Xenopus tropicalis: one gene and its partners. The main gene of each other region encodes a partner of the protein of the gene in region 5 in a complex. Links are inferred from orthologs where the notes say so. Each region holds a gene or a part of one and is shown on either strand. Other genes may lie near its edges.

The links.
Region 1: crnkl1 (region 5) and armc7 share a complex: the UniProt entries of both Homo sapiens proteins name them as parts of the minor spliceosome. The link is inferred for Xenopus tropicalis from reciprocal best matches to the Homo sapiens genes CRNKL1 and ARMC7.
Region 2: crnkl1 (region 5) and snrnp200 share a complex: the UniProt entries of both Homo sapiens proteins name them as parts of the minor spliceosome. The link is inferred for Xenopus tropicalis from reciprocal best matches to the Homo sapiens genes CRNKL1 and SNRNP200.
Region 3: crnkl1 (region 5) and rnf113a share a complex: the UniProt entries of both Homo sapiens proteins name them as parts of the minor spliceosome. The link is inferred for Xenopus tropicalis from reciprocal best matches to the Homo sapiens genes CRNKL1 and RNF113A.
Region 4: crnkl1 (region 5) and cwc27 share a complex: the UniProt entries of both Homo sapiens proteins name them as parts of the minor spliceosome. The link is inferred for Xenopus tropicalis from reciprocal best matches to the Homo sapiens genes CRNKL1 and CWC27.
Region 6: crnkl1 (region 5) and snrpg share a complex: the UniProt entries of both Homo sapiens proteins name them as parts of the minor spliceosome. The link is inferred for Xenopus tropicalis from reciprocal best matches to the Homo sapiens genes CRNKL1 and SNRPG.
Region 7: crnkl1 (region 5) and rbmx2 share a complex: the UniProt entries of both Homo sapiens proteins name them as parts of the minor spliceosome. The link is inferred for Xenopus tropicalis from reciprocal best matches to the Homo sapiens genes CRNKL1 and RBMX2.

The regions. Positions count from the first base shown.
Region 1 is NC_030686.2:44,366,160-44,370,855, reverse strand, and holds armc7 (armadillo repeat-containing protein 7), read right to left. Parts: upstream 3,296-4,696; 5' UTR 3,224-3,295; coding exon 3,148-3,223; intron 3,144-3,147; exon of another isoform or gene 3,054-3,143; coding exon 2,889-3,053; intron 1,241-2,888; coding exon 888-1,240; 3' UTR 286-887; downstream 1-285. UniProt on the Homo sapiens protein: As a component of the minor spliceosome, involved in the splicing of U12-type introns in pre-mRNAs.
Region 2 is NC_030679.2:125,082,421-125,086,509, forward strand, and holds part of snrnp200 (U5 small nuclear ribonucleoprotein 200 kDa helicase), read right to left. Parts: intron 3,973-4,089; coding exon 3,799-3,972; intron 3,347-3,798; coding exon 3,186-3,346; intron 1,041-3,185; coding exon 813-1,040; intron 390-812; coding exon 198-389; intron 56-197; coding exon 1-55. UniProt on the Homo sapiens protein: Catalyzes the ATP-dependent unwinding of U4/U6 RNA duplices, an essential step in the assembly of a catalytically active spliceosome. Plays a role in pre-mRNA splicing as a core component of precatalytic, catalytic and postcatalytic spliceosomal complexes.
Region 3 is NC_030677.2:156,458,274-156,463,001, reverse strand, and holds the start of rnf113a (RING finger protein 113A), read right to left. Parts: upstream 3,307-4,728; 5' UTR 3,289-3,306; coding exon 3,198-3,288; intron 2,320-3,197; coding exon 2,246-2,319; intron 1,919-2,245; coding exon 1,811-1,918; intron 1,570-1,810; coding exon 1,462-1,569; intron 928-1,461; coding exon 818-927; intron 694-817; coding exon 587-693; intron 32-586; coding exon 1-31. Other genes in the region: noc4l (nucleolar complex protein 4 homolog), read left to right, coding at 3,405-3,551. UniProt on the Homo sapiens protein: Required for pre-mRNA splicing as component of the spliceosome. As a component of the minor spliceosome, involved in the splicing of U12-type introns in pre-mRNAs. E3 ubiquitin-protein ligase that catalyzes the transfer of ubiquitin onto target proteins.
Region 4 is NC_030677.2:188,226,253-188,231,000, forward strand, and holds the start of cwc27 (spliceosome-associated protein CWC27 homolog), read right to left. Parts: upstream 2,941-4,748; 5' UTR 2,849-2,940; intron 2,769-2,848; 5' UTR 2,677-2,768; coding exon 2,635-2,676; intron 251-2,634; coding exon 154-250; intron 1-153. Other genes in the region: protein SREK1IP1, read left to right, coding at 3,122-3,134. UniProt on the Homo sapiens protein: As part of the spliceosome, plays a role in pre-mRNA splicing. Probable inactive PPIase with no peptidyl-prolyl cis-trans isomerase activity. As a component of the minor spliceosome, involved in the splicing of U12-type introns in pre-mRNAs.
Region 5 is NC_030681.2:36,930,535-36,934,623, reverse strand, and holds part of crnkl1 (crooked neck-like protein 1), read right to left. Parts: intron 3,975-4,089; coding exon 3,883-3,974; intron 3,795-3,882; coding exon 3,636-3,794; intron 3,357-3,635; coding exon 3,190-3,356; intron 2,996-3,189; coding exon 2,817-2,995; intron 2,373-2,816; coding exon 2,202-2,372; intron 1,330-2,201; coding exon 1,138-1,329; intron 789-1,137; coding exon 729-788; intron 439-728; coding exon 358-438; intron 1-357. UniProt on the Homo sapiens protein: Involved in pre-mRNA splicing process. As a component of the minor spliceosome, involved in the splicing of U12-type introns in pre-mRNAs.
Region 6 is NC_030679.2:122,085,774-122,090,404, reverse strand, and holds the start of snrpg (small nuclear ribonucleoprotein G), read left to right. Parts: upstream 1-1,710; 5' UTR 1,711-1,737; coding exon 1,738-1,769; intron 1,770-2,383; coding exon 2,384-2,406; intron 2,407-3,214; coding exon 3,215-3,339; intron 3,340-4,631. Other genes in the region: protein FAM136A, read right to left, coding at 1,226-1,312. UniProt on the Homo sapiens protein: Plays a role in pre-mRNA splicing as a core component of the spliceosomal U1, U2, U4 and U5 small nuclear ribonucleoproteins (snRNPs), the building blocks of the spliceosome.
Region 7 is NC_030684.2:38,934,601-38,937,407, forward strand, and holds part of rbmx2 (RNA-binding motif protein, X-linked 2), read right to left. Parts: intron 1,841-2,807; coding exon 1,711-1,840; intron 1,096-1,710; coding exon 921-1,095; intron 543-920; coding exon 211-542; 3' UTR 1-210. UniProt on the Homo sapiens protein: Involved in pre-mRNA splicing as component of the activated spliceosome. As a component of the minor spliceosome, involved in the splicing of U12-type introns in pre-mRNAs.

The DNA of each region.
Region 1 (4,696 bases), on a different chromosome or scaffold from region 5:
ACCTACTGGCAAGTTAAAGTTATTATTATGGAATAAAGGTCCCATCTGCCCTATGGAAGTCATACTTATGGCCGGATTCTGTGATATATAGACCTTTGCTCTGCTCAAACATGATGTTTATTGATCATTTCCGATATTTGTGGGGACCCTATACTCACACTTTCATTAAATTCAGTAGAGTTACAATGTGTAATATTGGGGTGCCAGTATCTATCATCAAGTAGTTGTTGCACGTATGAGGTATATGTGTGTGCACCGCCCTTCCAGATTTTGGTTGTGTTTTGGATCTTTGGCTATTGGACTCTTTGAGCATCGGTATTCATGGGCCCCATACTTAAAAGCTAGCAGGGCCCCCTCAATTATTAGCTCACCAGTCTCTTGTGCTTCCAGGCCTTGTAAACAGGTAAAATGAATCCCCTCACATGCATAGCCACATCCCTAATCCACTGCAATTATATTAAAACTCTCCCCATGATCCACCCAAGTGTCACCCCCTACCATAAGGTTCCCCCACCCCTTTCATGGACCCTGAATAACCCATGAAGCTTTGCTGGGGAGAGCTAAGAAACACAACTGTACAATCTCGCCAACCATTGGCCACTCACGAAGAGTGGATAGCAGTGTAGATAGCAGCACCGAGTGCTTTTCCTCTTTAATGATTTTAATACAGTAGAAATAAATACACGAGGGACCATGGGGTCAGTCCATAACTGAATCACGGAACAGTATCTTGCAGGGGACTGCAGTCCGGCAAGGCTTGCACTTGTCTCCCAAACTTGTTTCATGATCATGAAAGTGACCAGCACTTCAAACACAGAGTTTGTCACACTCCGAGAACAGCCATGCTGCATCTGTTTCTAGTAGGGTGCAAATGTCCGACACGGGAGTCAGATGGGGTGCTGCGTGGATTCAGGGAGCGGGATTCCCAATGCCGAATGTTGGCTCAGTTCTTTGGCTTCTTGCACTTGCTTATCGCTGCAGTAATCCTGCAGGAAGATGGTGGCCAAATTGCTGATCCTGCGGTTGGTGGAAAGGGAGAAGCGCACCATGCACTCCACCACAGCAGGAGCCGTCACTTCAGTGCGGGAGGCGGCCGTGCACAGGAACATGAGTGTGGTCAGCGCCGAAAGCACCGTCTCTTCCCGACGGCTGGACAGGCAATTGATGACCAATTTCAGCCCCCCGGAGTCTAGTATGTGACTCTTGTTAGTCTTGTCCAGGCAGAGATTACAGAGACCCCCTATTGGAAAAGAGAGAATGGTTAAAGGCAAACTAACAATTTCAAAGACATTATGACCTACAGGGGGTTTGATCACAATTGAAATTGAGGACATGTTTTTTAGGGGGGGGGGGGATCCCATAGGAAAGATGGAAAAAAACATATTGCCCAAACCTACAATATCCTTCCGTCCTGCTGGAAGTGGTTAATACAAGATAACTGGGCTTTCACTGCACCCAATGTTTATATTCGCAACACAGGATGTTTATCTGGGTATAAAAGGATCGCACAGAAGTTTGTAGTGAAAACGATAAATATACCAGAGCCGTGTTTGTCAGAGACCAATGACAGGCGAGGGGTTGGGGGGGGTGGTACACGGTGGCCATAGATGGGCTGATAAAACCTACTGATTCTGCCACCCCCCCCTCCAGTGCCAGGTTGCATATTGGGCTTTTCCCAGGGACAGACTGGGACAATGAGAAAAATCCCAGTGGGCCCCACCAACCCAGGCCTGATCCCTGCCAGCAACATCGGCCCTCCACCCTCAGTGAGGGGCCCCCAGTCTGACACTGGCTTTTTTTCAATGGTCCGTCCCACTGTCATCAAGCAGAAAATTTAAGCATCTACCCACTGCCCACCTATAGCCACTTTCACTATACTGTCCATCAACTGGAGATTGGGGCGGAGTCATTATATCAGGGGTGGGCAAACTACGGCCTGCAAGCCATGTCTGGCCCATTGGCCTTTTTAATCCGGTCCGCTGACTCCTGATTGGTCGCTGTAGGTCGCTGGGGGGGGGGGGAGGATGTTTAGGAGGATGCTGAGAAGGATGCTGGGGGGGAGCTGGTGGGAGGATGCTGGAGGGGGGCTGGTGGGAGGATGCTTGGGGGGAGCTGGTGGGAGGATGCTGGGTAGGGACGCTGGGGGGAGCTGGAGGATGCTGGTGGGAGGATGTTGAGGAAGATGCTGGTGGGAGTTGAAGAATGCTGGGGGGGAGCTGGTGGGAGGATGTTGAGGAGGATGCTGGGAAGGACACTGGGGGGAGCTGGAGGATGCTGGTGGGAGGATGTTGAGGAAGATGCTGGGGGGAGTTGAAGGATGCTGAGGGGAGCTGAAGGATGCTGGGGGGGAGCTGGTGGGAGGATGTTGAGCAGGATGCTGGGAAGGACGCTGGGGGAGCTGGAGGATGCTGGGAAGGATGCTGGAGGGGAGCTGGTGGGAGGATGCTGAGGAGGATGCTGGGATAGGATGCTGGGGGGAGCTGGAGGATGCTGGTGGGAAGATGCTGGGGGGAGCTGAGAGGCCTGTGATTTCGGGCCAGCGTTACACTCAGGGCCTCCATCAAGTCAATGTGTCCCCTGAGCTTGGAGGATGCTGGCAAGGACGCTGGGGGGAGCTGGAGGATGCTGGTGGGAGGATGTTGAGGAAGATGCTGGGGGGAGTTGAAGGATGCTGGGGGGGAGCTGGTGGGAGGATGCTGGGATAGGATGCTGGGGGGAGCTGGTGGGAGGATGCTGAGGAGGATGCTGGGGGGAGCTGGAGGATGCTGGTGGGAGGATGCTGGGGGGAGGATGCTGGTGGGAGCTGAGATTATATTGCATTATATTGTGACCCTCCTGCCACACATGGGGGCACATTGTGGGCTCAGCACTTCAGTACATTCTCTCACCCAGGCCAAACTCCACCAGGTTCTCATTGCCCTCAGTCAGCATATCCAGGAACAGGTCCAGCACCTGTAGCTTCCGCAGGTCGGAAAAGTTCCGGGGATCGTAGGCGAAGTTGGCCAGATTGGCCAGGACCTGCTCTTTGGCTTCTGAGCAATTAAGGGGAGAAACTAATGAGAAGAGGAAATGATGCGGAGAGTTGGTACAAAACTACAACCGTAACGAAACTGAATGGGGTTAAATCTCCCCCTCTCTCTCCCTTACCGACACTGTCCGTGTCCTGGAACTCAGTGACCAACGTCTGCAGGTACTGAAACCGCTCCGACTCCCCGTCACCCATCCCCGCTCTCTATCAGCCCGCAGTACCTGCGCTTCCGGGTGGGCGGAAGTGATGTCACCGTACTGGCAGAAGCCTCAAGTCGGGTGCCAGTTCTCGTCCTACTTCCGGGCGGGAAGCGTGAGGGAGGCGCAAAGCGCTGAGGCGGAACTGTAGCGTTAGGGGCAGAATTACCCGGGTAAGTGTGAGGGTGGGAACAATAGAAATAAACAAAATGTCATGCTATGAGTATACTTTTGTATTGAGATTTATATATTTATGATGTATTTTTCTCTTCAGACCCTCTCCTACTCACTCTTCAGGTTGGCAACTTGGTAGCAGGAAATTGGAAAGTGTAGAAGTGCTAAAGTGGCAAAAACCTCAGAGGATAAAAAAATGAAGACTGTGGTACTTATCTGCTGCTCACACAATTCTTACAACTATGGCCCACGGGCCGTATTGGCGCAATACCGTCTGACCCCGCCCCTCCAGACACTCGTTTCAATAGAAAACACGTGACACCCAGGCAACAAAGGCCCAGGCCCGGGGCGGAACAGATTAAGGGCTCTGGCACACGGGGAGATTAGTCACCCGCGACAAAACTCCCTGTTCGTGGGCAACTAATCTCCCCGAGTTGCCTTCCCCTGCCATCCCACTGGCGAAAATGTAAGTGGCCGGTGGGATGGCACACGCGGCAGCGCGATTTAGCGCAAATCGCTGAAAAAGCCTCGCAAGGCAACTTCGGCGATTTGCGTGAAATCGCGCCGCCGCGTGTGCCATCCCACCCGCGACTTACATGTTCGCCGGTGGGATGGCAGGGGAAGGCAACTCGGGGAGATTAGTTGCCCACGAACAGGGAGTTTTGCCGCGGGCGACTAATCTCCCCGTGTGCCAGAGCCCTTAGGGTGGCATGCTGCCCAAGCCGCACTGAAAATTGAACGTTAAATGGAAACACCAAGCTGCAGGGCCAGACTGGGGGTAAAAAGCAGCCCAAATATAAATATGCAATGGCCTTCTACTCTTTATATCGCCACACATGTATATAGGGGTAAAATGGCTATAAATCATGTGCATAAGGAATTGGGATGTTAACACGTCTCTAGTTTGGTATTTCTGCAACTATCTGGTTGCTAGGGTCATATTTAAACTAGCAACCACGTGAGATATGGTACTGAATAACAATAGCCTCTCAGAGCAATAGTTTTTTGGCTGGCTGACTGCCTGAAAGCATAGAGAGGCAGAAAAAGGCAGCAAATAATTTAAAAATAAGTAAAAAAAAAGACCAGTGGCACAGATGCTAAATATAGGGTATTTTATAACTCACTTTTATCCCCCTGGGATTCACAGTGCACACAAACAGAGTCGGACTGGCCCACCAGGATACCAGGAAAACTCCCGGTGGGCCCAGGGGTCAGTGGGCCCTCCTGCTCCTCACCATTTGGCCTATTCATGGTCATTCCCTATTTCTGAATGGGAACAAAGAGAAGAAATAGATGG
Region 2 (4,089 bases), on a different chromosome or scaffold from region 5:
AAACTGGCTTAGCCATAGAAAGCAGCCGCGTTTGTGTATGACTGATGTTAAAGCCCTGCAATACAAAAAATGAGAGATTTTGCTGTAAGTCCAATACATTTCCAACAGCCATAATGCTACAAAGCTGCCATTGTATCAGAAGCCTTTTGCAGGCCTTGGTGGCAGAATATACAAAATATGTATCAGACCCACAGTACCTGTATATGTAACTCCAGAGGAACAGGCCTCACGTTGGGATGAAAGTTGAATGTGGAGGTGGCACTGCAACCCAGCCAGTGAGCAACATCCTTGGCATTGGAGAGAGAGGAGCTTAGGGCCACGACACGGATAGGCCTCTCTATCTGGGAGGAGATGTACCGCATTCTGGAACAAATTACCTCAAGAACTGGCTGCAAAGAGAAGGAAATATTGCTTTAGAAATCTCCAATCCTACCCATTTTACATGACTGTTCAGCTTTTAAACTAACTGTAAATGATTGCATTTGTGCAGTTTACAGAGGAGCATTATTAGTGGTTCTGTTGTGTGAGATACCACAGACCCATTCAGTCCATAAAATTTACAACCATTATCACTACACTGCTTTACTTTTACACACAAAGTTACAATGCTTCATCTGTATTACAGTGCAAAGTTAAGCTGGCAACATGCAAAGATCTGCTCGTTTGGCCACCCAAGTGTTTAACCCAACCAGGCTGATCTGATTGGTGAACAATAGTTATAGGATCTCAATAGAGTCCTGTGCATCATATGCATCCATGGCTCAATATAGCCCTTGCCCAACTAAAAAAAGCTGGATTTTGTTTTCACTTACTCCATTGGCTCCCCCGATGAGGTGAGTTTCATCTACAATGAATAGACTGACATTCTGCACATTCTTCCTCTGCTTCCATCGACGGGACAAGATATCCCACTTTTCTGGGGTGCTGATAATAATGTTCCCCTTACCCAAAAGCTTCAGATCAGTGCTGGTCTCACCAGTGAGCAGGACAACCTTCTTATATAACCTGTCCTGGAACTTTTCAAACCAGTCCATGAAAACCTAGATGGACATACATAGGCCAAACTTATTAGTATTCAAAGCATGCAAAAGTGAAGTCAGTTTGTCTAAAACGCCTAAATGCAGCTTTACCCAAGATCCTATTATCCTTCTGGTTTTCACTTTATGATTTTTGGTGAAGTGAACTACCAGTTGGGCATTATACACTGGGGCCCATATTAGGTTCTTATTATGGTGTAGAAAAAATAAAAACCTTAAAGGAACAGTTCGGTGTAAAAATGAAACTGGGTAATATGGATAGACTGTGCAAAATAAAACATGTTTGCAATATAGTTAGCTAGGCAAAAATGTAATCTATAAAGGCTGGAGTGGGCAGATGTCCAACATAATCACCAGAATACTACTTCCTGCTTTCAGCTCTCTAACCTCTTAGTCAGTCAGTGACTTTAGGGGGGGCACATGGGACATAACTGTTGAGTTAGTTTGTGAGCACACAGGTCAGATTCAAATGCAAAATAACTGAACAGTTATGTCCCATATGGCCCCCCCTCAAGTCACTCATTGGTTACTGACCGCTAACAGCTTAGAGAGCTGTAAAGCAGGAAGTAGAGTTCTGGCTATTATGTTAGACATCTGCCCACTCCAACCTTTATGGATGATATTTTTGCCTCACTATATTTTTTATTTTGCGCAGTCCATCTATTTTGTCCATTTTCATTTTTACACTGAACTGTTCCTTTAAGACAGTAAGACAAAGAGTGGATTCAAGAACTAGCTTCAATCTAGTTTACCCAGACTTTAATAAGCAGACTTCATCCAAACCTTTCCCTCTGTATCCCACCAGGGTTACCAAGTGAAGTTTAAAATGGATAAATGGTATCAACCTGACACACTGAACTGATATAAAGTTTCAAACAGATGAACAACCACATATATCAGTCGCTGATACTGGTTAATTCTTCGTTATTAATGCAGAAATGTAGCAATGTAAAGAGACTTGCTGTCTATCAATCAGTCGAACACCCTGCATGGCCAGTTTCCTTTCTTGCCAAGGTAGGTAGGCATACGTTCTCTAGATAAGAAACTGCACATTTCCTAGTGAGCATACAGCACAATTTTTACTAATAAAGAAATAAATGGAAATACAAATCCCTCTTTAACTTTGTTTCTAATTAACTGTGAATATTGAGAGCAGCACTTTATAAAGGAAAAAAAGAACAAAGAATATTTCCGCAGGCAGCAAAAGAACAGTGAAGAGGAGTAAAGCGCTATGATTTCTTTTTTAGCATATATTTACATAAATGAGTCGTGTCTAGCAGCTGACAGCGAGCACTAATGAAAGCACATAAGTAATGGGGTAATGGGACTGTGCTGCAAGCGTGTGTGTGGGAGGGGAATGAGTTAAGTGTGTACCACTTTCTGGAAACAACTTTTAGAACAAATACAAATTGTGCACCCTCCAAAAATATCTAATTACTGCAAAATGTTCAGCACTTGCTGGAACATCTCCCTCTGAGAGGAAAGTTAAGCTGTAAGAGTCTCTGGAGGTAGAGATTGAAGTCACAAGTTATATTCATAGAACAATAGGAATCCACGCTAAAAATTGGAAAAGAACATTACATCCCAGAGGAAGCAAGAAAAACATGTCCAAGTATGGGATCCGTTATCCGGAAAGCTCCAATTTACAGGAAGGCCATCTCCCATAGACTCCACTAATCAAATAATTCAGTTTTTTGTTTTTTTTTTAATTATTTCCTTTTTCTCTGTAATACACAGAACCTTGTACTTGATCGCATCTAAGATATAATTAATCCTTATTTGAGGCAAAACAATCCTATTGGGTTTAATTCATGTTTAAATTATTTTTTTTTAGTAGACTTAAGGTAGGGAGATCCAAATTACAGAAAGATCCCTTAATCTGGAAAACCCCAGATCCTGAGTATTCTGGATAACAGGTCCCATACCTGTACTGAAACACTGGTGAAAAAGTTTTAACAGGATATAAAAATGAGTGATTAGTATAGGGTACAAAGGTCTATGAACAGAGATCACCGTTACTGCAGCTTTATACCTTTACACAACTGTATATGATCTATGAACAATATACGAGCTAAAGGGGTAAAACAAAGTTACCCCCTACTCTATAAGCCTTTATCGATTTCTTGCAGCTTGTATATACGAACATACCTGTTCGGCCAGAGCTTCCATAGGAGTTATATAAACACAGCGGCCCTCGGAATTCTGAAGCAGCATTCTGAGTATGGCAAATTCTGCACAAATGGTTTTCCCGCTTCCTGTGGGAGCTCCCACAAAGACATTATCATCACTGTTGTATATTGTGTTGAAAACTGTGGGGGGAAAAAAACAAGGACGGGGGAGATTTATATTTAATACAGTTCTACCAGTGTAGGGTGTATGTTTGCTCCAGAAACACTACTTAGTTAATATAATTAAGCAGCTGTGTTACAGCTACTGGGCTACAGGGCACACATTTAAATACAAGACAACAGTTTTAAAGCAATATCCCGGGAAACAAAAGTTACCCAACTGACAGCCAGCACAATGAGTGGTACAAATATTCCCTAAGATGCTCGTTCATTTTATAAAAAGTACAATTTTAACATGTACTTTATTTTTTTAAAACTGCCCTGAGGCATCACAACAAGTAAAGTTGCTGACTTCAGCATCTGTCAGTTACAGGCTGCTCACTCATGTCTCAACTAACTCAATGATCAGATATAGAAAACTACTGCTAAAATGTAAATAAGGCAGTCTAAAGAGGGGGACAATGTCCTCTCACCTTGGGTCTGGATAGGGTTAAAGAAAGGAAATTTATCCTGGTATAAGCTCTCAAATGCACTGTTCCTAAGGGCAGAAACTGGCAGTGGTTGTAGATCCAGCAGCTCAGTAGGCGGTGGGTATTTTTCGGGAAGAATCAGATGGCGGAAAGAGACTGGGAGTTGAGTTTCACAAGCTGCCAACAGGCGAAAAAAAGAAAAACAAATTTGTAGACAATTTGCCGGTTCTTCAACATTGCTCCATTTTGACATAGAGAGACAAGATTTCCAATGGTAGTTGCTTTTGTTTGATT
Region 3 (4,728 bases), on a different chromosome or scaffold from region 5:
TCAGAGCGGTCGTGGAGAAACTTGCAGCTGTCTGAATGATAAAACATGCACATGTTCATCAAATGCAGAAGGTTTCAACTTAAAATGTACAATAGAATGTGACGGATATGAATTCCCAGGCTAATGCCTTCTAGGGCTGATTCTCAGGATATGCACTAGCCGAAATTTAGCTGATCTGTGGGCATCCACTCAGATATGTGTCTGTACCCGGAGCCACTGCGAGTGGATTTCAGCACAGAAATGCATACTCAAGGGTTTCATCAACACAGTGACTTTGGGTGCAGAAACAGAAGGTTGCAAATATGAGTGGAAGCTAAACTGTTCCTTTGCTAACAGAAGCCAGCTATAAGATTAATCAGTCCACAAGTTAGAAAATAAAAGTAAAAAACTGACTGCTGCTATGGGTAATTGCTCATACTTGTGTACTTAAATTAGGCCCAGTATAAGTGAAACTAGCTGTGAGTAAAACTTGCAGTGTTACATAATAAATAATAGTAAGGGAAGAGAGAATAAAATATGGGCAAAAAGGGCCAAAGGAACAACAGACATTTAATGGAAAGGGGTACAACACAATCCAGCAACTGACCTCCAAACCCACAGAACCCAGTCTCCTTGTAATCTTTGCAAATATCTGGCTGGTAATCCCAACGTACTGTGGCTCTGAGGTGCTCTGGGGCACGTATTGGTCCTTTCCTAAAATGATAAAAGTTAAAGTTATCAATGCAGACTAAACTATTAGGATTTAATCACCCAGTTGATTGAAAAGTGAAATGTTTCTAAATTAAAACAGAATGGAAAGTGGGAGGGGTACACGTACCTAACCATGCCAGAGGATGCATTGCCCATAGAGGTATCTTTGGGTTTCACAAACTTCTGGTAGTTGTGGATTCCTCGATAGATCTTGTCATCTTCCTTCCCCTTCAACTCCTGTCAGATTAAAGCAAAATAAATAGTGGGAACTAAACAGAGTGTCATCTATGAAAAGGAGAGTATTACAATATTAAAGAAAGTAAAGTGAAGAGAAAAAAAGCACAGAATTTTTAAAGAAACTGCATGTAAGTCATGCAGAACACTGCATGCTTTACTAACACTTATTGCATTCCTTAGTGATCCCCAACCATTGGCTCGGGGGCAACATGTTGCTCACCAACCCCTTGGATGTTGCTCTCACTGCCCCCAAAGCAGGTGCTCATTTTTGAATTCTTGACTTGGTGGCAAGTTTAGGTTGAATAAAAACAAGATTTGCTAACAAATAAAGCCTCGTAAGCTGATGGTGTGCATAGAGGCTACCTATCTTATTTGGCACCTCCACAAACTTTTATGGCACTTGTGTTGCTCTCCAAGTCTTTTTACATTTGATTGTGGCTCATGAGTAAGAAAGGTTGGGGTTCTCTGCTTTAGTGGTTCTCTCATAGTTTAAGGTGAATATATAATCCACTGCATCACATACTAAATACTCACTTCCTGTACTTTCTGGCTCCTCTCAAAAATTGCCTGAGCATCCTTGTCTTTTTCAGTGTCTAGTTCATATGTAGCTGTGGCTCCCATGTCATCTGGCCCTACTGGTTTCTGCAAGAAACAAAGAATGCATACATAGTAAGAAATGGGGGGTGTCTTAGACATGTCATTCTATAAATACAGATTTTTTTTCAATGCATCATTTATATTGAAACAAGACAGACAGCATAGGCTGATTCACAAACTGAATAAAATATCACAAAGAACTAACTGATGATGGGTTTCAAAGATTTTAACATTTATGACATAAAGCCTGTGCTAAGAATAAGCCAATTCCAAAAGAGTCTCTTACCGCAGATCGGGTAGATTTATAAGACACAGTGATAGACTTCGCTGTTTTGTCCTCATCTTCACTGCTGCTTGCTTTGTAATCTTCACAGTCCTTTGGTTGCTGCCTGCTCTAAATCACACACAGAGGTAAATACAACTACCAGAAAGCTCAAGAGGACAAACACTACACACATCCCTTCTGTGGCATGTTAACGTCTGTCCTGCACACAGGGTGACAGGCTGGAGAGGGTTATGGCATGTGTTGTGCTTCCATTCAGCCATTAGCTGCCAGGAGAAGATGATGTGGTATCTATATCTCTAAACAGAGAGGTCTACAGGAAATATCTGGGAGAAGTGTTGCTGCCCACTCTGAAAGATTAACTGGCAGAAAATTTTATAAAGCTCCTTAATGCTCCTGGGGCCTCAGGGTGACATAGTGAATACCTGTGACTCTAACCTTCTGAATCATGGGATTAACCACATCCTTCTTTATCCTCCTTATCACTGGACCTTTCTCTTCCTCGCTGCTCTCTGCAAACAAATCAGTAAAGGACTGATCAGAATAGTACAACACACTTATACAACAGATGCATCTAAGTACTATTCTGAAATTCGATAAATTTAAGACACCAAATGCATGTGAGCCCAGTGACATAAAGGTATGGGATCCCTTATCCGGAAACCTGTATCCAGAAAGTTCCAAATTACGGATCTCCTATAGTCTCCATTTTAATCAAATAATTCACATTTTTAGAAATGATTTCCTTTTTCTCTGTAATAATAAAACAGTATCTTGTACTTGATTCCCAACTAAGATATAATTAATCCTTATTGGAGACAAAACAATCCTATTCAATATTTAAATGATTTTTAACAAACTAAAGTTATGGAGATCCAAATTACAGAAAGACCCCTTATCAGGAAAACCCCAGGCCCTGAGCATTCTGGATAACAGGTCCCATACCTGTACCAATGAACAGTAAATGAGGCTGTATGTATAATTATATTTGTTGTTGTTAATGTTTTGCAAATACTTTGATGGGTTTGATTTTTGTTTTGTCATTTGGACCTTAATTCCCTGGTACATGCTACTGATTTCTAATGGTAATTATATCCAGCAAACAATACAGCCACCCTCACCTGCATCTCCTTTAAGATAGTGGTTTTGAGTAAGGAACAAAGTCGAATAGTTGGCCAATATACACGTTTGAAAATAAAAGCAAAAACCTTATTGGTTGCTAACAGCAACAACACTTGCGCAATTAGTTGTATCTGCGCTCTCTTCTGCATTTAACTCATTTACTCCATCCCAACACTTTGCTGAATTTTATACACGGTAAGCGTGTAATGCCTATAATACTATATTATAATAAACATTTATTTGCACTCCCACTTTCTCCTTGTCTCACCATTGTCCGATTCTTTGCGTTTCCGTCCCGCGAACTTTCGGGCACTTTTTTTAAACACGAAACTGCAAACTGGTGCGTTAGAGTCCGCCATTATTCCTGTGACGCCAGACTAGCTCCAGATTGCGCGCATTGGCTGAGGCCACTTCCTGTTTAGAAAGCGCACGCAGGCGCATTACCGGGGGGAAGTCGCGTTGCTCCAGTAGCAAGATGGCAGCGCGCAAAGCGAAACGTGTGAGTTCGAGCTTTGCCAAGCAAAGTGATGCCGAGCGCCACGATTTGGATAGCAAACTCGCAGCAGTACTGGGAAGTAGAACCAATGCCAACGCGGTGTTTGATATTCTGGAACATCTGGAGGTGAGTGCCCGCTTTGCAGTGTGCTAGCAAACAGTATAACAGCAGCCCTGACAAAGAAGAACATCTTTTGCACGAAACAGAAACACAACATTTTGTGTGACAGTATGCACGTCTAAACAGTGTGACTGGAAGTATTTTAAAGTTCTTATAACAGGGCTCGGCAACCAGTGATAGAAAAAGACAGATGGGAGATGGCCATTAGGGAAAAAAGGAAATGTGAAAAATTACATTTTTGCAGAGAGAGAGAGCTTTTAGCGAGGGTAACATATCAGATTGCTAAGGTTACCAGCCTACTCAACGTATAATTGATGTTATTATTAATCAGCAAGAAAGATCCTGTCTGAATATTTATTTAGAAAAGACTGCAGCCTACAGACAGGGCCAGGTGGGCAAGGCGTGACAGCGGTGGGCAGAGCTAAGATTGAATGCTCAGGTCTGAAAAGAGTGGAACTGCTGGTACATCAGGCCGAATTGTTGGCAGTCAGAATCAGCACTGGGTGGTGCAGGGAAAACAGAATGGCATGAATACATAGTTGTGGGTAATGGGAGAGGAAAATTCTAGTAGCAACGACAATTCCATGAAAGATTCTTTCTAACCTCTTGTCTTTTCTCATTTGCTTTCCCTATTACCTCCGCTGCCCTTTCATTCAGGACCTTCTGTTTTGATCTCACACTTTTCCTAACTTTCCCCTTTATCCCCCGCAACCTTCTGACTCTCACTTTTCCGATTACCACACATTTTCACCCCCTCCATAAACAGAACAACAAATGTGTTTGCGAGTTTCAGTTCTCCTATATTACGGTATAGAATCAGTCACACAGGAACTGTTCCCTTGTGATTATTGTTTGGTCTGTAACAGCTTGTATATTCCTCCCCATAGTAATCACAGTCTATGTACTCCTGAGAGCAACTTAGAGGTCTTTAAAAATTCTCTAGATACTTGCATGCAAGCTAATGTGTCGTTAAATCTCTTACTTGATAGTGGTTCCCTTCTCGGAACTCTGCCAGCGTCTTCATGTGACAATGCTCCTCTACAGGATTACTGTTCCACCAGCTAGAATTTTCCTTCTCCAATTTGAACCCCCCCCCCCCCCCCCCCCCCCACATATGATCTCTGTGTCCACTGTGCCGCTGCTGCCTCTTCCTGGACACAGGGGTCTTCTAAAGGGAGCTTGA
Region 4 (4,748 bases), on a different chromosome or scaffold from region 5:
AGAAGCAAAAAATAATAAATTATTGCCTGCCACTGTTGGTTTTCTCTTTGGTTGCAAGGATCAGCTTAGCAAGGCATCATTATCAACGGTTTTCTAAAGTTCTGAAGTAATCTGGCTTTTATTGCAAGTGTGTGTTTCTGTTTGCAACGTTACCTTCTAAACAAAGCTGTACAAAGTTTCGGCATGCTCTTGGTGCCTCTTTTGACCACAATTCAATGTCAATCTCTCCAGCAGTTGTTTTCAGCAAAACCTGGAAAAGTGGTAGTAAAAATTATTATTTGGGCAGGATTTCTTCCTCTTCTTGCTGCCTTTGTCTTTCACGTGTGGCATATAGTATGACACAAGTTCACACAGGACATCCTACCCTACCCGTGAGCATTATTTAAATATAAAAAAGTTGGGGAGTAACACAAGCACGAAAAAGTTTTCTAGGGGTTACAATGAGGACTGTGACTGGTTATTAGGTAGCCCAACGTGGATGGGCAGACTACAGGAGGCTCAGTTTGGCAGTACACATGGTCTTTATGCCCCCAAAATTTGCATCCAAGCCAGAGGCTACTGGGAGCAACTTCCAAGGGGTTGGGGAGCAACATGTTCCTTGCAAGCCACTGGTTGGGGCTCACTGCTGTAGACCTTCTTTACCTCTTACATGGAACTAGATATATAATTATCACAGCGTAGTTCAGGAGATACTTATGGGTACATCATATAGAAAGAAATGGGATGACATTGAGCAACAATATGGAGGTGAGCAAGTTGATGGCAGTGGATGTGATCTACTTGGACTTTGCTAAAGCATTTAGCAGTACTGCACAGAAAGTTAATGGTAAAATTTGGCCTGGAACATAGTGCTGGGCGGTATGACCAAAAATTTATATCACGGTATTTTTTTTATTATATCGGTATCACGGTATTTGACGGTATTTTTTTTTCCCCATGCATGATTAGGTGACCACCCCAAACACCCCCCCCCCCCCAATTTTTCTTACTATTTCCGGGTTGCACGCGCGACGTCAGCGCGCACAACCCGGAAATAGTAAGAAAAATTGCCAGGAGGCGCCCACACCGGTATGCCGGTAAGTTAAAAATTTTTATCATTTTTTTTTTAAAAAAATGGTGTTCGGTATATACCGGTATACCGCCCAGCACTACTGGAACATAATATTTTAAATTGGATAAATAAATGATTGAAGGATAGATTACAGTGTAGAGAGAGGTGGTAAATAGAACATTTTCTAATTGGGCCAGTGTTGTTAGTGGAGTACCGCAGGGGTCAGTCCTTGGTCCTTTGCTTTTTAACTTGTTTATTAATGACCTGGAGGTGGACATTGAAAGTACTGTTTCTATTTTTGCTGATGATACTAAATTGTGCAAAACTATAAGTTCCATGCAGGATGCTGCCGCTTTGCAGAGCTGACAAAGCTGGAAAACTGGGCAGCAAATAAGGTTTAATGTTGAAAACTGCAAAGTTATGCACTTGGGTAGAAATAATATAATAATGTAATAATATTACACACTAAATAGTAGTGTGTTGTGGGGATCCTTAATAAAGAAGTATCTGGTTTTTTTTGTAGATAACAAGTTGTCTAATTCTAGGCAGTGTCATTCTGTGGCTACAATAAAGTGCTTAAAAAAAGGGCATTGACTCAAGGGATGAAAACATAATTTTGCCCCTTTATAGGTCCCTGGTAAGGCCTCACCCTGAGTATGCAGTGCAGTTTTGGGCTCCAGTCCTTAAGAAGGATATTAATGAGCTGGAGAAAGTGCAGAGACTGCAACTAAACTGGTAAAGGGGATGGAAGGGTTAAACTATGGGGTTAGACTGTCAGGGTTGGGGTTGTTTTCTCTGGAAAAGAGGCGCTTGCGAGGGGACATGATTACTCTGTACAAGTACATTAGAGGGGAATATAGGCAGATGGGGGGGTTCTTTTTTTCCCATAAAAACAACCACCACACCAGAGGCCCCCCCTTAGGAACGGAGCTTCCATTTGAAGCAGCGTAGGGGGTTCCTCACGCCCCGGGGAGGGCAGTGAGGTTGGGGAATGCCCTTCCTAGTGATGTGGTAATGGCAGACTCTGTTAATGCCTATAAGAGGGGCCTGGATGAGTTCTTGAACAAGCAGAATATCCAAGGCTATTGTGATACTAATATCTACAGTTAGTATTGATGTTGGTATATATAGTTTAGGTATGTTAGTTTGGTATATAGCCTATATATGTGGCTGGGGTTCGCCTGGAGCCCATTCATGTAACTAAAGGACAGCCTGCACTGGTGCATTTGGGCACCTTCCTAGCAGGACATTAGTTAGTCAGCTCAGAAGCTCTGTCCTAGGGCTGAATATGCAGGAGGAGTCTCCATAAAGCGCAGCACAGTCCTCTCTGCTCCCCATGTGGATTATACCAATGTGCTGACAGCTGGGGGGGGCAGCTACATGACGCGAAACTAAAACATTTACCCTGGGAAATGTATTTTCACAGAAAAACATTGAGTAAATTTACTTATAGACTTTACATTTCCTTTATCAGGTACCGCGCTGGGAGAGATATTTCAGCAACAGCAGATGGGAATCCCATGCTAAATATTATTCCTTTATCCTTCTGCCCTACAAGCCCCTTACTTTCTCCCGCTGCTCACCTTGCCGTTTGTCGGCGGCTCCTGAATGTAAATATTGCTCATTGTTACTCAGCTTCTTGCAAACAAACTCCAGCGTGCAACCTGACAGGACGGGACCGCCCACATACAGCCTCAGAGGGGTGCCAGAGAAGATTCTGATTTAAAAATGACACAGCAAAGAGCGTTAACAGGACTCGTCCCATCCACAGTTATATAGTAGCTCGTATTTTGTTACCCGAATGCTCCAAGATCACAGCGTCTACAGCAGAGGATGATTACACCAGAGTTGCATTGCTTTAGTTCCCCCCTTTCTCTTAGTGTGGCCGAAAGTACACTTCCCGGAAACCAGAGCTTTCATTTGCGTTCCACTGCGCACCGCTTATTCTGTTCCGCTGAGAAACAAGTCCATGCTGTGATTGAGTTCCGAGGAAGTGAATTGGTTAGGAGGCGCGCAGTAACTGTTTGAGGGGTGCGATCTTCTGTGTACGGACGCTGAGAATTGTGACTTATGGCTGTCCCAGGTTAGTCTGATTTATAAATCACGTTTTTTACCTCACCTGATCCATCTGATTTTGATAGAGAGGACTTTTATAATACAGGCTCGAGTCTGAACTCGACATGTGTAAAGTCTCTGCAAAGTGCATTATGTTGTACTGTACACTGTACGCACACAACCCAACTCCCCAACCCAATTAGTTTTATCCCCCGCTATTTTATGCCCGAGTCCCCAAAATACGTAGGACATCATTTTTTTCTGCTTTTGAAGGGGTGGTTCACCTTCAGTTAAACTTTAAGTATGTTATAGAATAGCCTGTTTTGAGCAACTTTTCAACTAGTCTTCATTTTATATTTTCGGTTGTTTCTGCCTTTGTCTTCAGGCTCTTAAGGTCCCCATACACGGGCCGATAGAAGCTGCCGATATTGGTCCCTTGGACCGACTCGGCAGCTTATCGGCCCGTGCAGGGGCAGAAACGATCGGACTGGCCGACCGATATCTGGCCTGAAATTGGCCAGATATCGGTCGGCCAGGTTAGAAAATCCTGTCAGACCGGGGACCGCATCGGCTCGTTGATGTGGTCCCCGAACCGACTGCCCCATTGCTGCTTGCAGAATTCGATCGTTTGGCCCCAGGGCCAAACGATCGAATTCACCGAAATTCCTCCCCGATATCGCCACCCGTAGGTGGTGATATCGGGTGAAGATCCGCTCGCTTGGCGACATCGCCAAGCGAGCGGATCTGCCCGTGTATGGCCAGCTTTAGGCTAAGAACCCACCGAGCGAGTTACTTGCCCACAATATCGCATGCGAGTAGCTGCTCCAAAAAGGACTACTCACGCAGAGTTGCCTGCAGGAGGAAACTTTGTGCAACTTCGGAACACGAAACGATACAAAGGGCTTTCCACCAGCGACTTCTATTGTTACCTGTGGAAAGCCTTTTCGAAGCAGTTACTCACATGTGATAGATCTCTCCTAACTCACTCAGTGGGTTTGTACCCTTAGGGCTCTAGTACATGGGGAGATTAGTCGCCCGCGACAAATCTCCCGTGTTGCGGGCGACTAATCTCCCCATGTACCAGAGCCCTTAGGGTGAAGACACATGGAGCTAATAGTAGCTGCTACTTGTAGTAGACAATGCTGATCATTTACTGATAACAGCAGGGCTGTGGAGTCGGAGTCGAGGAGTCGGAGGCAATTTTGGGTACCTGGAGTCGGAGTCGGCAAAAAATGAACCGACTCCGACTCCTACTAAATTTAAATGGGAATAAAAAAAAAAAAATAAAGCAAGTTTAAATGTCCCAATTCACAAACAGTCATAATTAATTACTTCTCTGCTATAAGAATAAAGCCCAATGCACGCAGTGCATAAACTAACACGTTGAGTGACCATGAAGCATGCTTTTCACTGACTGTATGAATGTATAAAATACATTCGCATATTAAAAACAGAGGAGTCGGAAGTATCAGAAACTGAGGAGTCGGAGAATTTTTCTACCGACTCCACAGCCCTGGATAACAGTCTCAACATGTTTTTTAGCAGAGGCAATTCTCAGTATTGTCTATGGCAGGGGATTTTCTGGCATTTAGTAGCTGTAAAAAAGTAGCTGCTACTAGTAGCTCCGTGTGACTTCAACAGT
Region 5 (4,089 bases):
CAACAATCACTAATGGGAAACAAAACTACAATACTGTGATGTAAATCATTAATTTACTTGTAATTACCCATCTTGCTATAGATTTTTACAGAAACTCCATGACACGATTAACTATCTGAACAAACTGTTTTTTTACATTTGGTTCCCATAAGTTGCAGGATTACGACTTCCAGTATTCGTCCACATAGAGTCAAGGCATACTAGAAGTTGTAGTTTTGCAACATCTGGGAACCCAAGGTTAAGCAACAGGGATACAGACAAATATTGGGGTAGATAAAAATAGATTTTTCAAACATTTTAATATCACCGCGAGTCTTAGGATAGAAAATAGTGCTCCCTGTATTTGATGGTACTCACCAAAGCTCTTCTTGCAAATGGAAGATTTTTTTGTCTGACTTCAAACTGTGAGTACATCAGCCAGATTTTTGCAAATGTGAACTGTAAAATAAAACTAGATTAACAAGTAGCAGTAAGAGCCCTAATATTTTAAGTTAAAATTCAAGATGGCTGAAGACATAATTAAAACAACAAAATCTCTCACTCCTGTGCAGAGATCATTACTATCACGTGAGGCAGATCAGCATTCACCCCTACCTGGTGTTGTGCACAGCGGCTGAAGAGTGGGCTGTTCTGCCTAGCTACAGGCAAATCCTCAAATTTAGGACTAGAATTTAGTTCGTAAAATGACATAAGGCTCATGGAAAACAAACAATTACAAAGACTCTTACTTTTTTGTGAGGGATTAGTTCTAAGCAGGCCTGGTAGACTTGCCTTGTTCTCTCTGGGTCCTGAAATTCAAAGTATGTAAAAAAACCATTAAAATCTGTCCATTAGCTAAGTGAAAAAAAATTTGGTTTGGTTTAGGGTTATTCCTTTTTTTCCTATAACACGCTGCTTTTATAAAAGGAAATGCAACAGATCCAGTCATAATAATCACACTTTATAAAGTGTATATGATCTATGTTTTTCAGACTGTTTTCTGCATTAAGAGATGTCTGACACACAACTGCCATCTAGCGGGCAAAAATGTGCAGTGTAATTCAATGTAAATATGCAGACAAAGAATGTCTGGTGCGCGCAGGATGCTAGGTTATTACACAGTTACAAGAGTTTCTTGTGGATTACAATTTTTTTCACCTTTGCTTCTAGCTCCTCATACAAGGCATAGTTTATCCACAGATAAATGTATCTCTTCCAGTGTCTCTTCTCCTTTGTAGGTGGGACATTGGCAATAGCCCGTTCATAAACTTCTCGAACTGTGTCAGGATCAGCATCACTTTCAACCAGCCGCAGATAATCAAACCAAGCATCGTAATTATGAGGATTTGCCTGGGGAGAAAGACATTTGTATATTTATCAAGTGATTTCTCCATCTTGTGCCATTTTGTTACCTATTGCTGAATTGCTCTTCTGGCATGAGATGTGACCAACTGCAGCTGTGTTATTCATTACGAACATATTTAAAGCTCATTTCATTGTGTCACAAACATTCGGACAGCACAAGTGTTTGTTACTTCCTATTCTGTTTCTATCCTATACAAAAAATAGTGCAGTGCAGACTAGAAAAACTATGCAAGCTCAAAATAATTTATATACTGTAATATGCAAAGAAATGGAAACTACCCAAGGACTACTGTTCAGGTTATGCCATAAGAAACATGTTAAAAAAACAAAAAAAAACAAAACAGTTTTGTGGTGCCAGTCAGTATTTCTATTTACTGTGGGCCATGTGTGCTAAACTGATCTTTCACATTAAACTTATGGGCAGAGCAGTGTTTGGGTACTGATTTACTATCACCATAAAAGTAATGATAGAGGGGCAAGTCGGTCGGTCACTTTCAAAAGCAATTAACCTGCGGCATGTTGCCAGTCACACACATCAAGAAAAGAAAAATCTGTAGTGTTTGAGGTCAGCTTCTTGACTGCTGGCACTTAAGATTATTTGATCTATGGCAGGCAATCGGTTAAATCTACTTAAAACTATACACACATTGCTCCGTTGCTAGAATAGAGTTCCTAACAACATTATCTAGCAGTAAACAGACTAAAAACAGTTCAAATGCCTAGAACCACCCTAAATTGGTTTAAGTACTATAAGTACGTGTATAGCCTACTTGACCCTGGTCAACTAAATAGCTTTAGTCTTTGCAAGCTTACTCCTAGTTGTGTTTTCTGTGTTGCATAAAATATTGCTCCCTTACCTTTACTTCTTCTTCATACTGGAACCTCCGTTTGTTGACTATAATATCTTCAATACCTCTCCGGTCACCATATTTCTTCTCAAAAATAGTGTAATTCTTGAATAACTCTTGGGCCTGTTGCTTTGATATTCTGTCCAAAGCATATTTATAGATGACACGGACTCTTTCAAACTGTGTAGAGAACAATAAACATGCTGAATAGGATGTAATCCTGTTGGAACTTTAACACAGTTACAGATGTCATCTGCATCTTCTATCACCAGATGACAAACAGCACATCATCATCCCAGGCTGGTCTCCTTGGACCTAAATTACATTCTATTTCACCCGTTTGTTGGGAATGTGGCAGTTTTTAGAATTAAAACAAATTGGAAGAGTAAACACATTTTTATGTAGAGAAACTTGATTTTAAACCTATTCTAATGCAATAAGACAGTAGTAGCTACATCTAACCTCACAGGAAAGGGAGAAGATAAGGAGCTGAAAACAGTTGCTAGGGTCAATTACTGACATATACAGAGCCTTGACAAATTCATTAAATGTGCTCCCATTGATGTCTCCCAATTTAATACAGTTTAAAATAACACAGCTTGGCTAAAGTAAATTAAAACTCACTTCTTTTTGATGCTCTTCAAATTTAGCAAATGAAACATACAGGTTTTCATCCATGTGATCTTCCCCGAAGAATTCCACGGACCTTTCATAAACTTTTCGTGCGTGGGCAATATAACCGTGCTTCTCTTCAAAGCGAGCATATTTGATCCAGTTCTTCACATCAGGGTGCACAATTACAAGTACACAGATGTTAAAGAATCAAATTTTCTGTGATATTTATGTTTTTACTTTGTACAGGTAAGGGATCGCATATCGGAAACCCTTGAACCCTAAATAGGTTTTAGTTGCAATGTTGGCATTATTGTACATCACAGCACCCACTCTAAAGAATTTCTTAACATAGTAACTTATCACATTTATACACAAAGGATATATCTCTCATAAATAGACCTGGCCCGGTCCACCTCTTTGTATCTGAGCTCAAAGTTGATGTAAGAATGCCAAGCTTGCTCCTCAGGTTGCCACTCCATCCAACGTTCAAAAACCTGCCGCGTTCCAGCCACATTTCCGAGCATCTCTTCCATATAGGTATACTTGTACCTTCAAACATCAAAGCACTGTCTTTTATTACTCGAAGGTCAAAACATTTCTTATGCTACAGCACAATCAATTTTCTAAAGGACATAAAATCACGACAGAAACAAGCTACATATTATCTACATTGTACATAGGGATTATCGACCTTAAGTTGCAGCACTCCTATAACACAAAATCCTTTACTAAAAAGTTACCCCCATAACTCCATATATTTCTAATTATTTTTGGTTACCTATATGTATAAATCAGCATAGTCTTTCCTTTGAAAAGTGACAAACCTACCAGAACTGATTGACCCTGGGTAGGGTAGTGATTGCTCTGTCCCAGATATTTCGTGCATGATTAACCTGGCGGCTCTTCATCTCCATCTCTGCATACTTCAGCCATAGTGTAATATTTCTGTAATCCACATCTAAAGCACGTTCGTATATAGACCGTGCCCTAAAAGCAAGAAAAAAAATTCAAATCATTAATAAGCGTAAATTTAATTTTAAGCCATCTATGCCAATTTAATTAAAAAAGTGAATACCTCTGAATTTCCTTTAGACTTTCCTCCCATTGTGCATATTTTATCCAGTTACTAATAACCGTCCTGTTCTTCCTAATGTTATCTTCAAAGGTCTGAAAGAAAGACACCACTTTTAACATTACGACTCTAAATAGAGATAATTATATCCTGTATTTATTGAATTGAGACATCAATTCATTTATGAATGAGACATCATCATGGACACAG
Region 6 (4,631 bases), on a different chromosome or scaffold from region 5:
TATGGTTATGGGGGGCATTAACACAGTCGTGTGACACAGATATAAATTGCAAACCCCTATGAAAACACCAACATCCCAGACCCAAGGTAATACTGATGAGCTACTGTTTTATACTTGGGGGTCTCTATTTTGGATGCATATAGAAACACACTTTTGGTTTTTGTGATGGTTATTCTCGTAGTGTATATATATATATATCCAACAGATCATATTAAGTGGCCTATTAAACAATTTCAACATTAAAATATATGTATATAGGGATGCACCAAATTCACTATTTTCAGATTTGGCCGAACCCTGGATCCTTTGTTAAAGATTTGACCGAATTCCAAACCAAATTTGTACATACAAATTAAGGCAAGTAAGGGTTAAAGAGAACCCCACGCAGAGTGTGACAAAAAGACAGGTGTTTTTAAAAATTCGGATTTGGTTCGGCCAGGACCTTGGATTAGACTTAATCCTGCACCGAATCCCGGATTCAGTGCATGCCCTTGGTGTGTTTGTGTGCTACAATAGCAGGAGGCCCTTAATATATAAAATGGCAATTTTCTATGTAGGATTACCCAATAGCACGTGCTACTAAAAGAAGTATATTTTCATGCAATTTATTTAGAAGATGCAGGGTTTTACATCTGAGCTGTTTATGCAATATATTTTTATAGAGACCTACATTGTCTGGGGTATAGATTTCCTTTGCTAAGAGGCTTGGGCCACACTGTGGCTTTCAAACATAAGTTTTACTCATTTGAACTTTTTGCCCCAGTTTCTTTTTCCCCCAGTTTCTTTTTGCCCCAGTTTCTTTTTCCCCCAGTTTCTTTTTCCCCCAGTTTCTTTTTGCCCCAGTTTCTTTTTGCCCCAGTTTCTTTTTGCCCTACCCATTTCTGATGAAGTTTGCAGCAACAGTACTTGCGGTTTAATGGTAAGGAACAGAAACCTGAACAGAAAGATAAGTCCCTGTGCTAAGCAAATGTAGCAGGAAAACTAGTATGTTATATTAAAGGACAAGTAAAACCTGGTATATAAGGCATCCCACAGCCATTAGTCCTGTACATTAAAAATGACCAATTCCTATTGGACCCCCAGGCATTTGTGCCCCTTCCATTCAAGTGCATGGGAGTGCTACCCCAGGGGGACTTTGAATGGCAGCAGAGTATAATAAAAGAAGTAATGGAAGATGGGCTGTAACGCCCTATGACATAAGACTAATTACACCAGACTATGGTACCTGCATTTTCCTAATGTTGTCCCTTTCCAAGCTCTTCACCATAGTGTCTATCGCATTTTGAAGCCGGTTCTGCTGTTCCTCTGCCATGTCTGACAAGCGTGTGCTCCAAGGGCAACGCACCTCTCTTCCGCCCTTACACATACCCTTCCGGTTACGGCTTGCCCTTACTCTAACTCTACGGCATCTACGTTGTTTTGCGGCAGACATCTAAGCTGACCGACTAGCTTCCATAGCCCCAAGTTTTTGTTAAATTCTTCTATAACCAATCAGGGAAAACGTATATATGTAATCAAATTTGCAATATTTCTTATATACTTTAATATTTGATACACAATGTTATATTTAGCCCAACTAAAGCCGGCTAACGCGTCTCCTTTGTATTCTTTGGTGGTCGTCATAGCGACCGTGGGGGTGGGCGGGGAAGCGCATACACGTAAGACGTGCTTACGTCACATTAAGGCGACTGCGTTACTTGGCGGCAGCGACCGGGGCTTTGTACACGAGGAACGAAAATGAGCAAAGCGCACCCGCCCGAGCTGAAGAAGTAAGGAACGGCCCGGGGGGGGGCAGTGAGGGGCAGAGCGGAGGGGGCAAGTGAGGGGCAGAGCGGAGGGGGCAAGTGAGGGGCAGAGCGGAGGGGGCAAGTGAGGGGCAGAGCGGAGGGGGCAGTGAGGGGCAGAGCGGAGGGCAAGTGAGGGGCAGAGCGGAGGGGCGGCTTAGGCTGTAGCCGGGGAACATACACCCAAACCTGCAGCCTCCATTGCGCTGTTTCATGTTGAATGGCCCGTTTTGGAGCATGGAGGCTGCAACCACATCATTCACACAGAAAGAAATGGGGATCTTTTCGATTCCCACATATCTTCCAATTATATTTTGTGGTCAAACTGATTGATTGCCCATATATTGCAATATACTCCAAGCTGGCCAACTACATCAGTCGCAGTCATAGGATTCATTAAGGATTCTAGTATTTCATAATGTGCACATGGATCTCTGGGAAGAGTGAAGTAGCTCTTATGCCTGATACTAACCCTATAAGGGAACTGCATTGGCTTCTCTTGGGTCCCTAGTCTAGTGATCTGAGCACAGGTGATTAGGTCTTGTTGAGTTATTATTATAATATAATGTATTTAAATGTTGTGTACTTTTTACTTTTAGGTTCATGGACAAGAAACTGTCTTGTAAGTATTGAAAAATTTTCCATCTACTTGTAAAAAGAAAAAAAAATAAAGGAAAACTATACCCCCCAAACAATGTAGGTCTCTATAAAAATGTTTCATAAACAAGCTCATATGTAAAACTAAATTAATCTAAATAAACCATTTTCTTAAAAATATTATTTTTTTAGTAGTATGTGCTATCGGGTGGTACTAAATAGGAAATTGCCATTTTATGAATTAAGGGCCACCCCCTGGGATCATAGGATTCACAGTGCACACAAACAAGCCAAGACACACATACATGTTAGGCCCCATCAGCCAATGAATGGGCAGAGTTCTGCCTTTTGCTCCCACACTACTCCCTGTTACAGTCAGAGCTGCATTATTTCCTGTCAGCTGATCTCTGAGGGAGCACACAGCCCATCACTAAATGGTGGCTCAAGGGAAAGGATGTAAAAGGGCAATATTTACTAATATATATTCCAGTTTGACAATATTCTTTAATAGGCCACTTAACAAAATATAAACTATCTGTTGGTTAAGTATTCGTTCTGGGGGTATAGTTTTCTTTTAAAAAATAAAAATATATATGATGAGGTCTGTGCTCGGACCTTATTCAGGTGCTTGGCCAAATAACAGTGTTATTTAGAATAAGAAGCAGCAGAGAGATGGTGCAATGAAGGATTTATTCAGGATACAGGACTGCTGTTCCTCACTCTATATAAATATATGCAGTTATAAGGGAACTGTACCAGGTGACTCCCCAAACCAGTAAACCACCAAAACCTTGAAGCATCTGATCAAATTTCCTTTCTTTTCTTTCTTTCAGTGAAGTTAAATGGTGGGAGACATGTCCAGGGGATTCTGCGTGGCTTTGATCCCTTCATGAACCTTGTAATAGATGAGTGCACAGAGATATCAGGGGGTGGCCACCAAAACACCATTGGAATGGTGGTAAGTGTTAGACTGAGCTGCAACATATATTGTATGGTCCCTTACTGTGTGTGTAATTTAGGGTGGCCGTTCATGGTCAGATTTTCCAATTTTTAAACTAACATTTGAGGACAACGCAACGCAAAATATAATTTTTTGCCTAATAAAAGAAAACAGAATTCTCAGCTTTGCAATATACATTTATTACAAATTTGTAATGGTTTTTGAGTTATTTGTATATATAATTGCTATTAGAAGCAGTGTTTGTCTGTCCTTTTCTATTCTCTGCCCTGGTGGCTCTGGCATTTGAAACAATGTAACACAAGGCAGCCAACTGACAGACCTGACTTGGGGAAGGAGACTGACTTTTGCAACATTGTTTAAAAAGTAACCACCAGGAGTTCGGCAAATGCTGCTTTCAATAGCAATTACATTTACAAATGGCATTTAATCATACAATGTTATCCACAGAGAAGTAGCACGTTAAAGATGTCGTCATTTTGTTGCCAAAAGGTAAAGTAATATTGTGCATCTACAATGCTATATCAGCTTGTGGCGGAAGCAGTATAAACAGGAAGTGATGTATTTTTCATCAATTTTTATCGATATTGGTATGCTATTTGCTATTACAACAAGTGAACGAATGAGTTCTGCTTGTTTGTAATGTGGCTGGTTGCCTTGGCTTGCTGGTATTGCAGCAAGGTATTCTTTTGCCTGTATTTATATTTACCAACAGCATGCACATGACTTTTCATAGTGTTTATGTGGTTAAAATGTAGGGTTGGCAACAAACATTTGGGTCTTGTCATATGCGTTCGTTGACTTCTGCAGGTACTGCCAATATATGCACAGAAAGCGACTGTTCAACGACAACTTTCACACCAACTCTTATCGTTGCCCAACTGATATTTTTAAGAATGTTGGGCCAATTAGTAAATTCTTACATCTAGAATTGTTTGTACACTACCAGCTATACAGTTTGTCCTGAAATCAGTCGTGAGACTACAAAATCTGAGCATGTATGGCTGCATTTAGTGGAATATGGTCAGATTATTAGCAGCTAATATTGCAAAGTGTATTGGCTTCTGTGAAGTTCAGATTAAATAATGACTAATCGGCTGAGCAGCTTTAGTACTTTAAAGATGGCCAGTTTAAAGAGAGGGATCTAGCCCATGTTTTCTGGGTAGGATGAGTTCATTGTTTTATTATATGCACAGTGCATGGCTACATACATCAGTGCTATGTACCACATGCATTTAAGTTAATTGCCATTAAGCCCAGCATTGTGGGATTTCTGTGTTCACTAGGGATGT
Region 7 (2,807 bases), on a different chromosome or scaffold from region 5:
ACAGACAAACAATTATAGCAAGGTTCAGCTCCTGCCATTTCAAAGTGGCCAGTACATCACAATTGCCTTTTACTTCTTAAAATCCTTCTCCCATGCATCATTCCATACACTGTACACCAAGGGTCCTTAGTATGTATTTAATAACAACTTGGGCTTAAACACTGCACAGACGTTCCACCTCTTATTGTCCCCATAAAGCATACTCTTCTGCTACCTTCTGCCTCTTTCTGTCTTGTCTTTTGATCTTTGCTCTTGCTGCTCTCTGTACTTATCTCTTGGCATTTGTTGTTCTCGCTCTTTGCGTTCCTCTTTTTCCTTGTGCTGTTCTTTGTACTTATCATGGGAATCACCTTTGCTGTTACTCTTTTTGTGAGAGCCACGGTTTTCTTCCATGGCCCTTGAGCTCTCACTTCCCACCCTGGAAAACTTCTCAATTGTCCTGGATCTGTCATAAGGGGAATCCAAACGTTCTTGTTTGTTATGCCTGCTGTTGCCACCCTCTTCCTCTTTCCTCCTGCTTTTGTCTTTTTTTTTCTTCTTATCTAACATGAAAAAACAAAAAACTATCAATTTAGTTTAGCAGAAGAATTAAATACACAGATCAGCTGTAAACAACCAGCAGGACTATAATAATAATGGCAAATGTAAAATTGGAAATTGTAATAAAATATGATAATTTTTCCTGCTACCATCACTAGTTAATGCTGTGAATAAGGCAACAGCATGATAGGTAAAAAAAAGGCCCCAATTTGAAAGGTTAAATGTGCTTAGGTAAATTAAAATATTGTATTCTAGGATACTTCTCCTGTTTAATGAAAACATAACAGTGATTGTATTTTTTTTTGGGGGGGGGGTATAAGCAATCCATCCCTTGCTACTTGTAACGAGTTCACACTATTAGAAAACTACTGATAAAACACCTTTCTTTTTCCTTGGTGGCTCTTCGTCTTCGTCCTGTGAGGATGACACTGGGGATGGCGTTCGTGCCCCACATCCCTTTTCTCTAAGAGATTGTGTAATTTCATCAATGTCTTCTGCATCCTTGGGAGGACGATAATTGGCAACATGATCTACACGGATTGTGCGCCCCTTTACCTGAATAAACAGAATGGTATTCCCAAAGTAAGAATAACTAAAATCCACTTTTCTGGTAACAGGCAAAAAAATGTTTAGGACAAAAACACTGTTGAATAAGTGGCATGGTTGGGGAGTGGTAATATAAGGTTATCAGGTCTTCTTTGCAGGGTTTTTCTCAAATTGTAGCCAAAATCATTAAAATACAGGTAGTGAAATGTCAGGATGCTGGGAAACGGCAGCAGACCTTGAAGCTGTCCCTGTATTTTATATAAAACAATCTTTATGGGGGGGGGAAGTACCATAGGCACAGGTTACCCCAAAGAACCTGGACCACAGAAGCAAAAGCATAAGCAAGAGATGGACAATACAGAAAAAAACATGGAATAAACAATAATAGGAAGAACTCTTTCTAGTGAGCCTATTGAATGATCTTTAGGTGGCTGCTAAAAGCGAAGAAAATATTGTAAACACGAATGGAATCCCTTACATCTATGTGTATCTCTGAGTCCTCAATGATATTGTATTCTAATAAACAATAAAGAGGGACCTCACATGCATAAAAATACATAATGGGTTATGCAGTCATCTGGATAAACTTTAGCCCTATGAGTATTGTAACATGTTATTTGTTACCTTGATGCCATTAAGATTATCCACGGCCAGTACAGTGCTTCTCTGATCCTCAAAACACAAGAAGCAAAAGCCACGGGAACGGCCTGAAGATTTATCACGGACCAGATTAATATTTACCACCTCACCATACCTGAAGAATATTCAACAATTAGGACACAGCCATTGGTAAATTTAAACAAAATGTAGGAAAAACTTTTAAAATATCATAACAAATTATTTTCTCTTCTCTTAAATTTGGGAGGATAGGCACCATGCCTGCAGATGGAAAAAAAAGACACTAAAAAGTAGCTACTACTCCGCTTCCTCTAGGCTTTATCCCCAGCATGCTACCCTCAGATCTTCAGTTTCCTGGACTGAACAAGGGGAGACCCTACACAGAGTCAAATGTTTTACCTCTACCCAAAATAAAACCCAACAACAACAGTAAAACCTAAAATAGAGAACATGCCTAAAAGTATAGGCAACTAACACTGAACAAGAAACCAGAGGAATGGCCTGTTTCCCAAAACCTGATTCGTTTTAGGAAGTGACCAAATCCTATAACTTTACAAAGCATACAGTCAAATCTCAAGTCTGTAGTCAAAAAAAATCCAAATCCTGAAAGTCATGATGTTTTTTTTTTGTTCACAAATGGTGATCTTTTACAAATTTGTATATGCATATTATGATACAGTATGGTATTTGGTTTGTTGTTCTGTTGAGCCTTTTGTAAAGGATTTTGCATTTATGGATTTGATGCATCACTACTAAAATGAAACTAAGGATCTGAGGAAAGAGAGGAGACAGAGCCTAGAGCAGAAAAAGGAGTCACTTTTAATGCTTTCAGGATCTTTATCATCCCATGGTGCCTGTGACTCCAATCTAGAGAACAGAAAAGTGAACTTCTTACCATTCACGATGTCAATGCAAACATCTAGGTTTAGATGAGCCACTGCTCAAAGCAGAACAAACAGTGAAACTCTTCAGGCTCCAATCTTGGGAGACAGAGTCTGAAATCCCCCTACAATTCAGTTTGTTGATTGTCCTGTCTCAAGAAGGTGGGGCAGAGGGTGTGCCCCTGTACTTTATCATGTTATACTAGTTTGTTTAGTTCTTGT